Linked DNA regions of Neodiprion lecontei. The protein of the gene in region 2 interacts with the protein of the main gene of each other region in a pairwise test. Links are inferred from orthologs where the notes say so. Each region holds a gene or a part of one and is shown on either strand. Other genes may lie near its edges. The genes, in order: eukaryotic translation initiation factor 4E and eukaryotic translation initiation factor 4E transporter.

Evidence for each region.
Region 1: the proteins of eukaryotic translation initiation factor 4E transporter (region 2) and eukaryotic translation initiation factor 4E interact in binary tests that used the Homo sapiens proteins (3 or more experiments, as listed by UniProt). The link is inferred for Neodiprion lecontei from reciprocal best matches to the Homo sapiens genes EIF4ENIF1 and EIF4E.

Annotation. Positions count from the first base shown.
Region 1 is NC_060260.1:30,404,686-30,409,719, forward strand, and holds eukaryotic translation initiation factor 4E, read right to left. Parts: upstream 3,176-5,034; 5' UTR 3,071-3,175; coding exon 3,041-3,070; intron 2,469-3,040; coding exon 2,290-2,468; intron 1,833-2,289; coding exon 1,515-1,832; exon of another isoform or gene 1,431-1,514; coding exon 1,316-1,430; 3' UTR 817-1,315; downstream 1-816. Other genes in the region: uncharacterized protein LOC107224388, read left to right, coding at 3,277-3,320, 4,019-4,100. UniProt on the Homo sapiens protein: Acts in the cytoplasm to initiate and regulate protein synthesis and is required in the nucleus for export of a subset of mRNAs from the nucleus to the cytoplasm which promotes processes such as RNA capping, processing and splicing.
Region 2 is NC_060261.1:14,470,345-14,475,247, forward strand, and holds the start of eukaryotic translation initiation factor 4E transporter, read right to left. Parts: upstream 3,157-4,903; 5' UTR 2,983-3,156; coding exon 2,802-2,982; intron 494-2,801; coding exon 396-493; intron 298-395; coding exon 224-297; intron 131-223; coding exon 1-130. UniProt on the Homo sapiens protein: EIF4E-binding protein that regulates translation and stability of mRNAs in processing bodies (P-bodies). Plays a key role in P-bodies to coordinate the storage of translationally inactive mRNAs in the cytoplasm and prevent their degradation.

The DNA.
Region 1 (5,034 bases), on a different chromosome or scaffold from region 2:
GTACGTGTGTTTCTTCTGTATTAAGCTGCGTATAGTTTCAGCATAATACTTCTTTCAAACACAAAAAGATTCCGATGAGCGAAATTTTTCACGCTGTAAATAATATTTTTCTGATCCATATGGGCATTGTAATAATAGCTATGTTTAAAACCGTGTGCTCGATATTTTTGTTTTTATCTTGATATGTAATGTTGGCGTATGTAAGTATGGTACAAACGAATATTTGGACTACTGAGGATATATTACGATAATATGTGTACATTTACGTCTACGTAATAATGTAAATCCGGACTGTGCTTTTTTTTTTCACACGTTTATTATCAACAAATTGTTGAATATTTATCTGCGTATATTTTTAGTTTCACGTCCGAATACATAGTATATTCGCATAGTGACAAATTCAGAAGCAGGTAACAGAAAATGAAGTATAATGTAACAGTTTTAACAGGGAAGTAAACAGTAAATAAATTGACAAGGCAACATTTATAATTGGCATGCTGTATTACATACGCTGACAATTTTCATAACATAATAGGTCACTGAAAAATAAAGATATATTCTCTATCGTTACCAGTTTCAAGCAGATTCGTATAGTATAAATGGAAGTGAAAATGCAACTAAACTAGTAATGGACTGAGAAATTATTTTGCTTTTGCTGGCTGCTGCATTTCGGTTATTTATGTATTTCAGTTCTGAGTGGAAGATTCCTGTTAAATTCTTTTGATTCGAACATTTCTAAACCACTAATTTTAGGTAGTAATTAGATAATTATTTCACGAATCCTATTATACATCAGGGAGGGTATATAACAAAGGATTGTGAGAAAAGAATAACTTTATTCCACATATGACTTGACTATACCTTTGTGTACAGATTCTTTCACATATTCTTATAAAAGAAAAATTATATATATAGGGAAAAAAAATACAGCAGCCTGCGCTAATGTCCTCTGGGTGAATAACTGTGAGAACAAGTTATATATATCAATGTAAAATTTTATACTAACAAATCTTGCATTTAGTTATATAATAACTCATTTATTAACCATCACTCAGTCGCGTATTATGAGAGGAAACATGATTACGTCAACATAATTTTTGGAGGGCGCAATAGGGGAAGGGACTGCTTATTTCTTTGCTCAGCCATTCACTAGTTCTGTACATGTGTATATTCCTCTCCTGAATACAGACAGTTGAATTCAGATGATCCATAAATATATCTATTAGATAATTTGCTCTGCAATTATTTGTTATTCGAATGGTTGGGGTCAGGAAATATGAGGATGATGTATAATAATAATAGAAAAGGGCTGTGGTTAAACCGAATAAGTGTTCTTCGTGACGCTTCCTGCTTTAGCCATGGTGTCCTTATGAATTTGGTAGCCTATTTGCACCCTTGGTGCAATCCGCAGTCTTTCCTTTAGTTTGCGCCTGCAATAAGAATATTAAAGGTTATACGGCACATTAAGGAAAACTGCAGTTTCCAATTCTGGTTTAATTAGAAAAATATCTTACCCGATTTCCAATACGCTTTGACCCCTGTTTGCATCTGCTGTCCATACACCAATTTTGTCACCTTTTGGTCTTACGTTGACCACAGCTCCACATACATCATCAGAGAACTCGTTAAATGCTTCACCAATCATACAGAGAAGAACTTCAAGCCAAAAACGGTCTAAATCACTTCCTCTTTGCTTTTTGTCCAAGCTAATGAGCCACCTGCCTCCTTTTTTATTTGCATCATCTTCCCACATTGGCCGAATACCCTGCTTGAACATACTGTAGTCACAGCCTTGCCGCAGCTCTGAGGCCAACTTTATGTGATTGTACAAGCTAGAAAAAGAATTTAATCATAAGATGAAGTGTAAATATACAGGTAGAAACTAAATAAAACATTTGATAATACAGCTGAAATATGCAGGATACTTGAGACTGTTAACTTTTTCAAAAACAGGATGGTCAAGTGTAAATGTTTCGATGTAATACAATGTGAAGAAAGTGGATCACGACCATGTGAAAGTATAGCACGTAAAACTAACTTGACATCATTTAAGCATAGAGAGCAAAGCGATATACATTCCATTCTCTTTACTCATGAAGTAAATACTACTTTGGAATTGAAAAATTTTAACGAAAACTTGACAGTACATGAATTTGGTACTACTGATTGATTAATTGAGAGTTTAACTTTTTAAACAAATGATTCAGGGTAATTTTTCAACTTTGCAAAAATGATAGAAGGAATATTAAAGTGGAAGGACCGTCAAAACTAAATTTCTATAAAAAATACCTCCAAAAATCTTCTGCTGTGTCGAAACTTGTGATTTCACGCTGATTTTGTTCCCATGTCTTACTGCGATCATTCTCATAGTACCAAAGTGTCCAAGTATTTTGCAACGGATGCTTGATAAGAAGCTCTGGTGGAAATTCTTCCAAATTTGCTACTTCTTGGTCCTTCTTCTCTGTATCCTGCAATGATAAATACACCTCTGCTTACTGTACAACATTCATATACTGCCGGTAAATATTTTCTACAGACTCTGCAAACATAATTAAATGTAAATTCAAACTACATATACCACTGCGATTTCCGCATATTCAAGCGAACGGAGCTCTGAACGTGTGAAACCACGAGTACTTTGATAGATTTTGTATGGAGTGAAGTTGTCCAAAGCGTGAGTGATGAATGATAAGTACCATCAACTATCGCGCGAATTGAAATGAATAGTTGTCGAGAAATCTACACAAGGAGAACGAACAAAAATGATTGGTATCATTTTAATTCGTTTTACGGTAAGACGAGAAAGAGAATTGGTTAACGCAGAGAAATGAATGATCTAACGAAGCGATAGTAGTAGGTTATGCCTATCAGCAAAAGGACGAGGGTCAGGGTGGCGGCGGGGAGCACGAGGAAGCAACCATGCTGATGCGTGAAACCGGACCTTTTTTGGTTAAAATACCGGACTAATGATATTCGTTGGAAAGCGAGTTAAGTTTCGGTTAAGAAAATACGATAATTCAACGAAATTTTACAAGTATACCTCGATTTCTGCCGAATTATTTGCAGCCATGTCACAGGAGTCGACCGCCAGGATTTTCAGCAAATGACAACTAAGGGCATCTGTCGGTAAGAGTTTGCGTAACTAGTCACTCGGGCTCGGCGAGGAATTGTTTCGAAAAACGAGCTAGCCGGTGCAGAGGCAAACGGGAAGACCAACACGCAGTGACACAGACCAAACACAGACAAGAAAGAAATAGAGATGCCTCGGCGATCGTGATGATTGAGTTCCTTCAGATTTTTTTTGTGGATCTTTTCCAGAGGTAGATGTAATTACTTCATGAAGCGAGAAATTTTCAATAATACACTGATTATTTTTATAATCACGAAAATTACGAACTTTGTTTTGTAATTGAAAGACGGCGTATTTTTTGTTTTCCCCTATTTATATGTCTTTCTTTTTTTTTTTTTTTCACCTACGCAAAACCTCGTCCGCAGCGACATCTCTGCGAGCGTGAAACTCGCAGCAACCACACGGAACGCTACTAATTTCGCGTGATTTGTAGTGAACATATTTATTTTTTTTTTGCAACTCACATATTCCATGTAAACAGTGAACCGTGAAATCGTGATCAATATGAAGCATGCGGTGAATATTCGATGTTATTATTCTATGGATCCCTTTCCTCAATTCTTCTTGAATCTCGTGTTAGAAAATCGATGGTTTGTAGGCGTGTTGTAATTTGGGGTTAGCTCGTTGGTTGGTAAAGACAGTGTAATTAGTCTTTAGACATTTTTTTGAATGAAACATGCCTCTAAATTTGTCGTGATTAATTTTCTTGTCAAATTTTTGTAATGTAAACAGCTATTGCACGTTTTAATCCACCGTACAATTTTGCCACAAAGGTCATAAAACTACTCTCAGCTTCTAGGCTTGTTCCTGAAGTTACATCAAAATTGACCTATTTTTCGATATTATCTCTTTTTAAGCAGGTTCGGATGATCATATTATGTTTAATAGAAAGACTACAAATCAACGGAGTAAGACTGGACATCAAAAAGAACATCCTCACTTGATATATCCAAACAGCCAACCAGAAAATGTAAACAAACCACATAACAATTAAGCTGCTTGAACGATAACAAACGCTCCTGTTTTTATTTCGATAATTCTTCCCAGTTTACATTACATCGTTTCTAATTCACAATTTTCTTCTGCCAAGTTGTCACTAACATTAACCAATACTGTACGAATGCTAGAAACATTATCAAAGTTACACACTTCTTGTGTGTAAAGTATGCAGTGATATGTATTATAAAGCTTGTATTTTGTGCAGTATTTCATTACTTGTCTAATGCAGCTTTCACGCATTACTTTCACTTTTACTGTAAAATGAGACAAAAAATCAAACATATGATTAAGGAATTGCTCAAAAACCATTTCAATAATTTAGCTTTAGAAAATTTATTGAACTTACTCTACCATTTGTTGGATTAACATTTTATCTTTGTTTTATTTTGTTCCTTATAATTTGTTCCCACTTCAAGGTAATTGTCGAAGCAAAGATGTACATATGATCATCTGAACTAGGCTTTACAAAAAATATTCTGCAAGGTTAGCATTTGGACTGTATTTTGTTGACTTCAAGTGATACAGGGCTGATTGACCCTCTGGAGGCAACCTGGATCATTACCCATTTATTTTTGCCAATTCCTTATATCTCATTTTGTATTAAATCTTACTACGTCATCTAAAGTAAACATATCGAATTCGTTCCTCTACCATCGTACGCTAGACATTCTAACGATTTCATTTCACTATTTACAAGCTGAAAAATATGAATTTAAACCGTTTTTATAAACAAAACCAATTCTGCTTAACACAGGGTTGCCTAAACAAGGGACCCCTGAAAATGGTTGCCCTCAGAGGGCTAAAAAACCAAATATATTATGGTCCTCTGTTCTTCTGAAGAATTATCGCACTGTTATTTCTCATATTTTTCATAACATTTAGCCAGTCTTGTTTTTGCTGCCATT
Region 2 (4,903 bases):
ATCACCGCTGCGACGTTTACTATGATTTTCAATCACTTGATCCCCGCGTCCATTTCTGTCATCGTCAGGAGGAGTTTCACTTCGCTTTCTATCAAGATGCCAACGCTCAGGGTCCCAAACGCCTCGCGAACTGGATGGAAAAACAATTGTAATTTAGATATAACAAATATACCAAATAATTATGGAACTTCAATAAATAAAATATACACAAATATAAACGCACTTATTATAAGCGGAATCCAAACAATCTGGCCTACGCTTGGATAGAGGTTGAGTCTTCATTTCCATCAGTTCCTCCTATGGATGGAAAGTCACAATGATTATTATATCATGAATTGAATTAGTGAAAGATCTGACCATTACCTAAAATTAATAGTAATACATCTTTCGCTTACCCGAGTATATTGAAACTGAGGTCGAGATCTGCCCACTTCCACAATAGAAGTATCAGTCACTTCGCCTGCCACAGACATCGATATTATCGCTTCATCTCCTGCAGCAATATTTTCAATTTTCAACATCATTCAAAAAACTAAAATGTATGAAATTCAGTTTATTATACATATATACGCAACAAACACAGATATAATTCTTATTATTATCAATTCATATTACTGGGTTTGGAAAATCGCACAATAAATGATGTGAAATGAATTATCTAGTTACGAGTTATTTGAATAGTTATATTTCACAGCAAGGATCTTAAAAATGATAAGAGTGAGGAATTTTTGAACTTCAGGTTAATGTTAGTACTTATTATGATTATGAAATTATTGTTAAACCATCGCATGCATGATACATGTACAAATGTATAAATGAGCTGTCATTTTGTAAGTCACATAGATGCCATATAAACGATGATGATAAGACCAATTATATATGTGACAGTATTGCTACCGAAAAACGTAAACCAGAGTGCAAAAGATGGGGTCCGGAGACATAACCCCACATCCAGAATCAGAAACTATGGGTTGCCTCAGTCTCTCTGTTGGCAGATTTAAGATATGTGCCAGTTTTTGAGGGCAAAATATTAGCTCTGACTGTACTTCAGTACCTCATAGTGTACACTTACAATTAATTATGAAAATCGTTCAATTTTTAGCCTTTAAGACGATGCTATAATCAGTCTGTACCGACCGAGTAAAATTTCGCTTAATTTAAATGTTACCAACGCTTATGCATTACAATCGCAAGAAAGCAGCAGAGCCCTTTTATGCCGTTTCATGCAAAAATAAGTCTAGGAAATTAATTGTTTTCATTCTTTTGATCGAAGAATTAGATATTTTAGACGGTATCCTGAAGTTTTTAATGTGGGATGAAAATGGGTTCCGAGTTAAAATAAATGTCAATATTCCAAGGATCTTGAATTTTCTAAACACCTTATATGTCCCTGGTACATTTATATCGATTATAAATATAATCCCATTTTCAGTTTACTCTCAAAATTCCAGGATATACTACAAAACGTCCATTATATTACACGGAAAAATAAATACAGTTTATTTTTACCCTCTTCGCATATACAGGACTGAAAATGTCGGGAAACATATATTGTTTTTGGCAATTCCTGAATTTCTCATGCCTTCAAATGTATTTTATATTCGGAGAGATCAAATGTTTTCCAACAAGTACAAAAAATTCGAAACCGTGATAAAATTGATCGTAACTCGTAAACATTTGACGTACAAGGGCTTGAAAATTGGACTTTCTAAATCATCCAAATTGCAACCAGATCGAGATAATTGAGGCTAAAAAGCTGTCTGCAAGTTAGCGGATCGGTAAAGCGGATACCTGACACTCTCGCAATGAATCAGATTGAAGTTAGTAGCGTTAAAGTAACGAAATATTGAAACTAAAACTATTGTTCTGAAAATTTAAAACGACTTTAAAGGAATTTAATTTCCATAATCAGAATACATTTGGCTTTTTAAAAATAGCTTAGTCAATTTGAGACGATCCTACAGTTGCGAAATAATGATTTTTCCTAAAAATTAATCGTTACATTAACGTTACTAACTTCACTGTCTTCGCGGTGAGAAAAGGCCATTCCGCCATGGTTGCCGCAATACACGGAGTCACCTCGTCTCGGTCGACGAGTTGCCGGCTTCGCCATATTTTCGCGGTATATGTACAATGTACGTATCGTTGTATGTCAATATTGAGATCAAACAACACCGATCGTGACACTGAACTAGTATCCGCAAATAAATCATAATACATTGTCCGCGCAAAGCCTGTACACGAAGCATTTTGAATGTAATGTAGGCGTATTCGTCTTTAGCAATAAGGAGAAATTGCCCTAGCGAATTACAACAAAACTGTAATGATGATGAAACAAAACTAGAAGAGAAACCGGAAAGGATTAACCCTTTCAGTCACAGATGCTCAGCGTCTCACCTCAACATTTCCATTTCCTAGCCTTATCGCAGTTTATTTAAAACATCAAATGATCGTTGTTACGTATATATAACACCAAAATCCTCGAGTAACAAGTTTGGACCAGAATCATCGAATTTTTATAGTTTTTATTAGATTTTACATCCGTTATATTGGATTTAGAAATGATTGAATTCTGATTTCAGATTCGTAATTAGCAACCTGAAAAACCCCCATGTCACAAAATTCAGGCTGAAATATTGAGTTGAAAAATGTGCAACTGAAAGGATGATGTCCTTTTTTGCGTTTGAGATACGTGGACTTCGATATTTGGAGATGCATATATACGACAACGTCGAAATCGACCAGGGTACCCCCTTAATGAAAAAGAAAATTTGAAACTCTGATAGCCAAGTGATACTCACGAAAAGTAACTCTTTTTACGGGATTGGAAGCACGGTTGCGACGAGACCATCGAACTCCTTGATTCTGGATAACCAGAGAATCAAGAATACACGAACCCGTCGGCCCAACAAGCGGGCGACGACGCGGACGCCGGTATCGATAAGTTGAACCGGCGCTGATTTCGTTATTTTCCAGCTTCATTTTGCAACGGAATAAGCAATATTTTTGAACACGTAAACAAAAGTAGCTGAATCGAACGGGTGAAATACGGATTTAACGATTAGAAGATGCGATCGACTCTTTCAACGCTAACTGATTTCGTCTCGAAAGACAACTGGCGATTTTCAACCACGGACAAATTCATGTACTGCTTCTTGCCTGCCGTACTTGCTAAACCGTTGTCCTTTGAATTCGACCGCGATGTTTACTATTTGGACACCAATACACATGCTATAAACCCGACTTCTTGCTGACCACGTGAACAATGTAGCCGAAATGGATGCTCAAACTTGGGGACAATATCCTCGAGAGTCGTCGGAAAGTACGAGACGCTTGAAGACAGACCGTTTTGACTAAATTTCTGATTCGTAATCCAGTATGTGAAATGTATGTAAAATCCAGTACAAACTAAATACAATTTTTTTTTCTGGCGTCTATCCGATGAATTAGAATATGCCTCTAATACTAGTTACTCATGGATTGAAGAATTAGCTCACGGTTTTGTAGAATGATTTTTGCGCAGTTTGCCTTGTACATTCAATTTTTCCTTGCGATGTACTACAGTTGGAAAAACGACGCGCAAAAATCAATTCGAACTGCAGGCATGTAGAGCGCAAAATTCGCCCTTGAGTATATTGTAATTGTTGACTTAGAACGGTATAATTCAGATACAGGTTTGGTTCTCTTGTACACTCAGCCCTCGGAGCAAAAAATAAGTTTTTCAGCCTTGAAATTGAGTACAGAGTGTAGGGGATGCGCCGCATAGAATGAGCAATCGTTAGTAGGATGTAAGATTAAAGTTTGTAACGTTAATATAGCGAAGTGTGTTTCGTCAAAAATCGTTATTTCGTAACTTTATGTAAATATTAAAAAATTCAGTAAATCGTAATAAAGCAAACTTCTCTCAAACTCCTTGTCCTGCTGCAAAATATAGATTGTTTTTGTGTTTTATTACGATTATTACGTTACTAATTTGAACTTCGCTAAATAAATAAAAAAAAAAAATTAAAAATAAAAAAAAAAGATTGTTGGACGTAAAAACTTCGGGGCGGGTATAAGTTTTAGGAAGTGTGCAAATATTTTATGCGATCACCAGGTTGAATTTAGTTCGCGGATAAAGGAATAATTTTGGAAAGAAAATGTTTTTCGCTTTGTCGCCGGGATAACGAAAGAATCTCCGACTTTTCCGACTTATTGTACCCAGCTTAAGTAAGAAAGTTGGTTGGTCAAAATCATATACTTTTTATAAATTTTATTAGGAGGTAGTCGTATATGTAGTATTGATCAAATTAATATATTCTTAAGCTGGAAAGATCGCTATGAGAATGAAAAAATAGAAAATACTGGAATTGCAAGCAAGAGCTTAGATATCGATGCTTCGTTTCAAATTGCTTCAAAATTGTTACGAATCTACTAGATTCATTCGATTTCACTCGATGATGGCTCATTTTATTTAAAGGACTATTAAATTTTCTACAAATTCACTGACACACTTTTTTATGATCTTGAAGTTAGTAACGTTATTGTAATGAATTAACGTTTCGGACAATCCGATGTTTCATTACAATGTTACTAATTTCAACCTCACACTTTTCATAGATATTTAAACTTTTTTTCATAATTCCAGTATCTATTTTGGTATTTTGAAAAAGACGATTTCATAAATTTTTAATGTACGTACCGTCTTATAATAAGATTAATAAAATGCATTAATTTTTTTACCGACCAACTTCCTTAAGCCTTGACATAAGAAAAAAAATTGCGAAATTCATATAGCGGAGGACAAGCGAGTGCGAAGCTTTGCTTACATCAATAGAGAATATAGTCGCTGCAGAAACTTCTTTTTCAGCAACTGAACTATTTTACGGTCCAAAAATAAGAATATATCGTTTTAACCACTCAC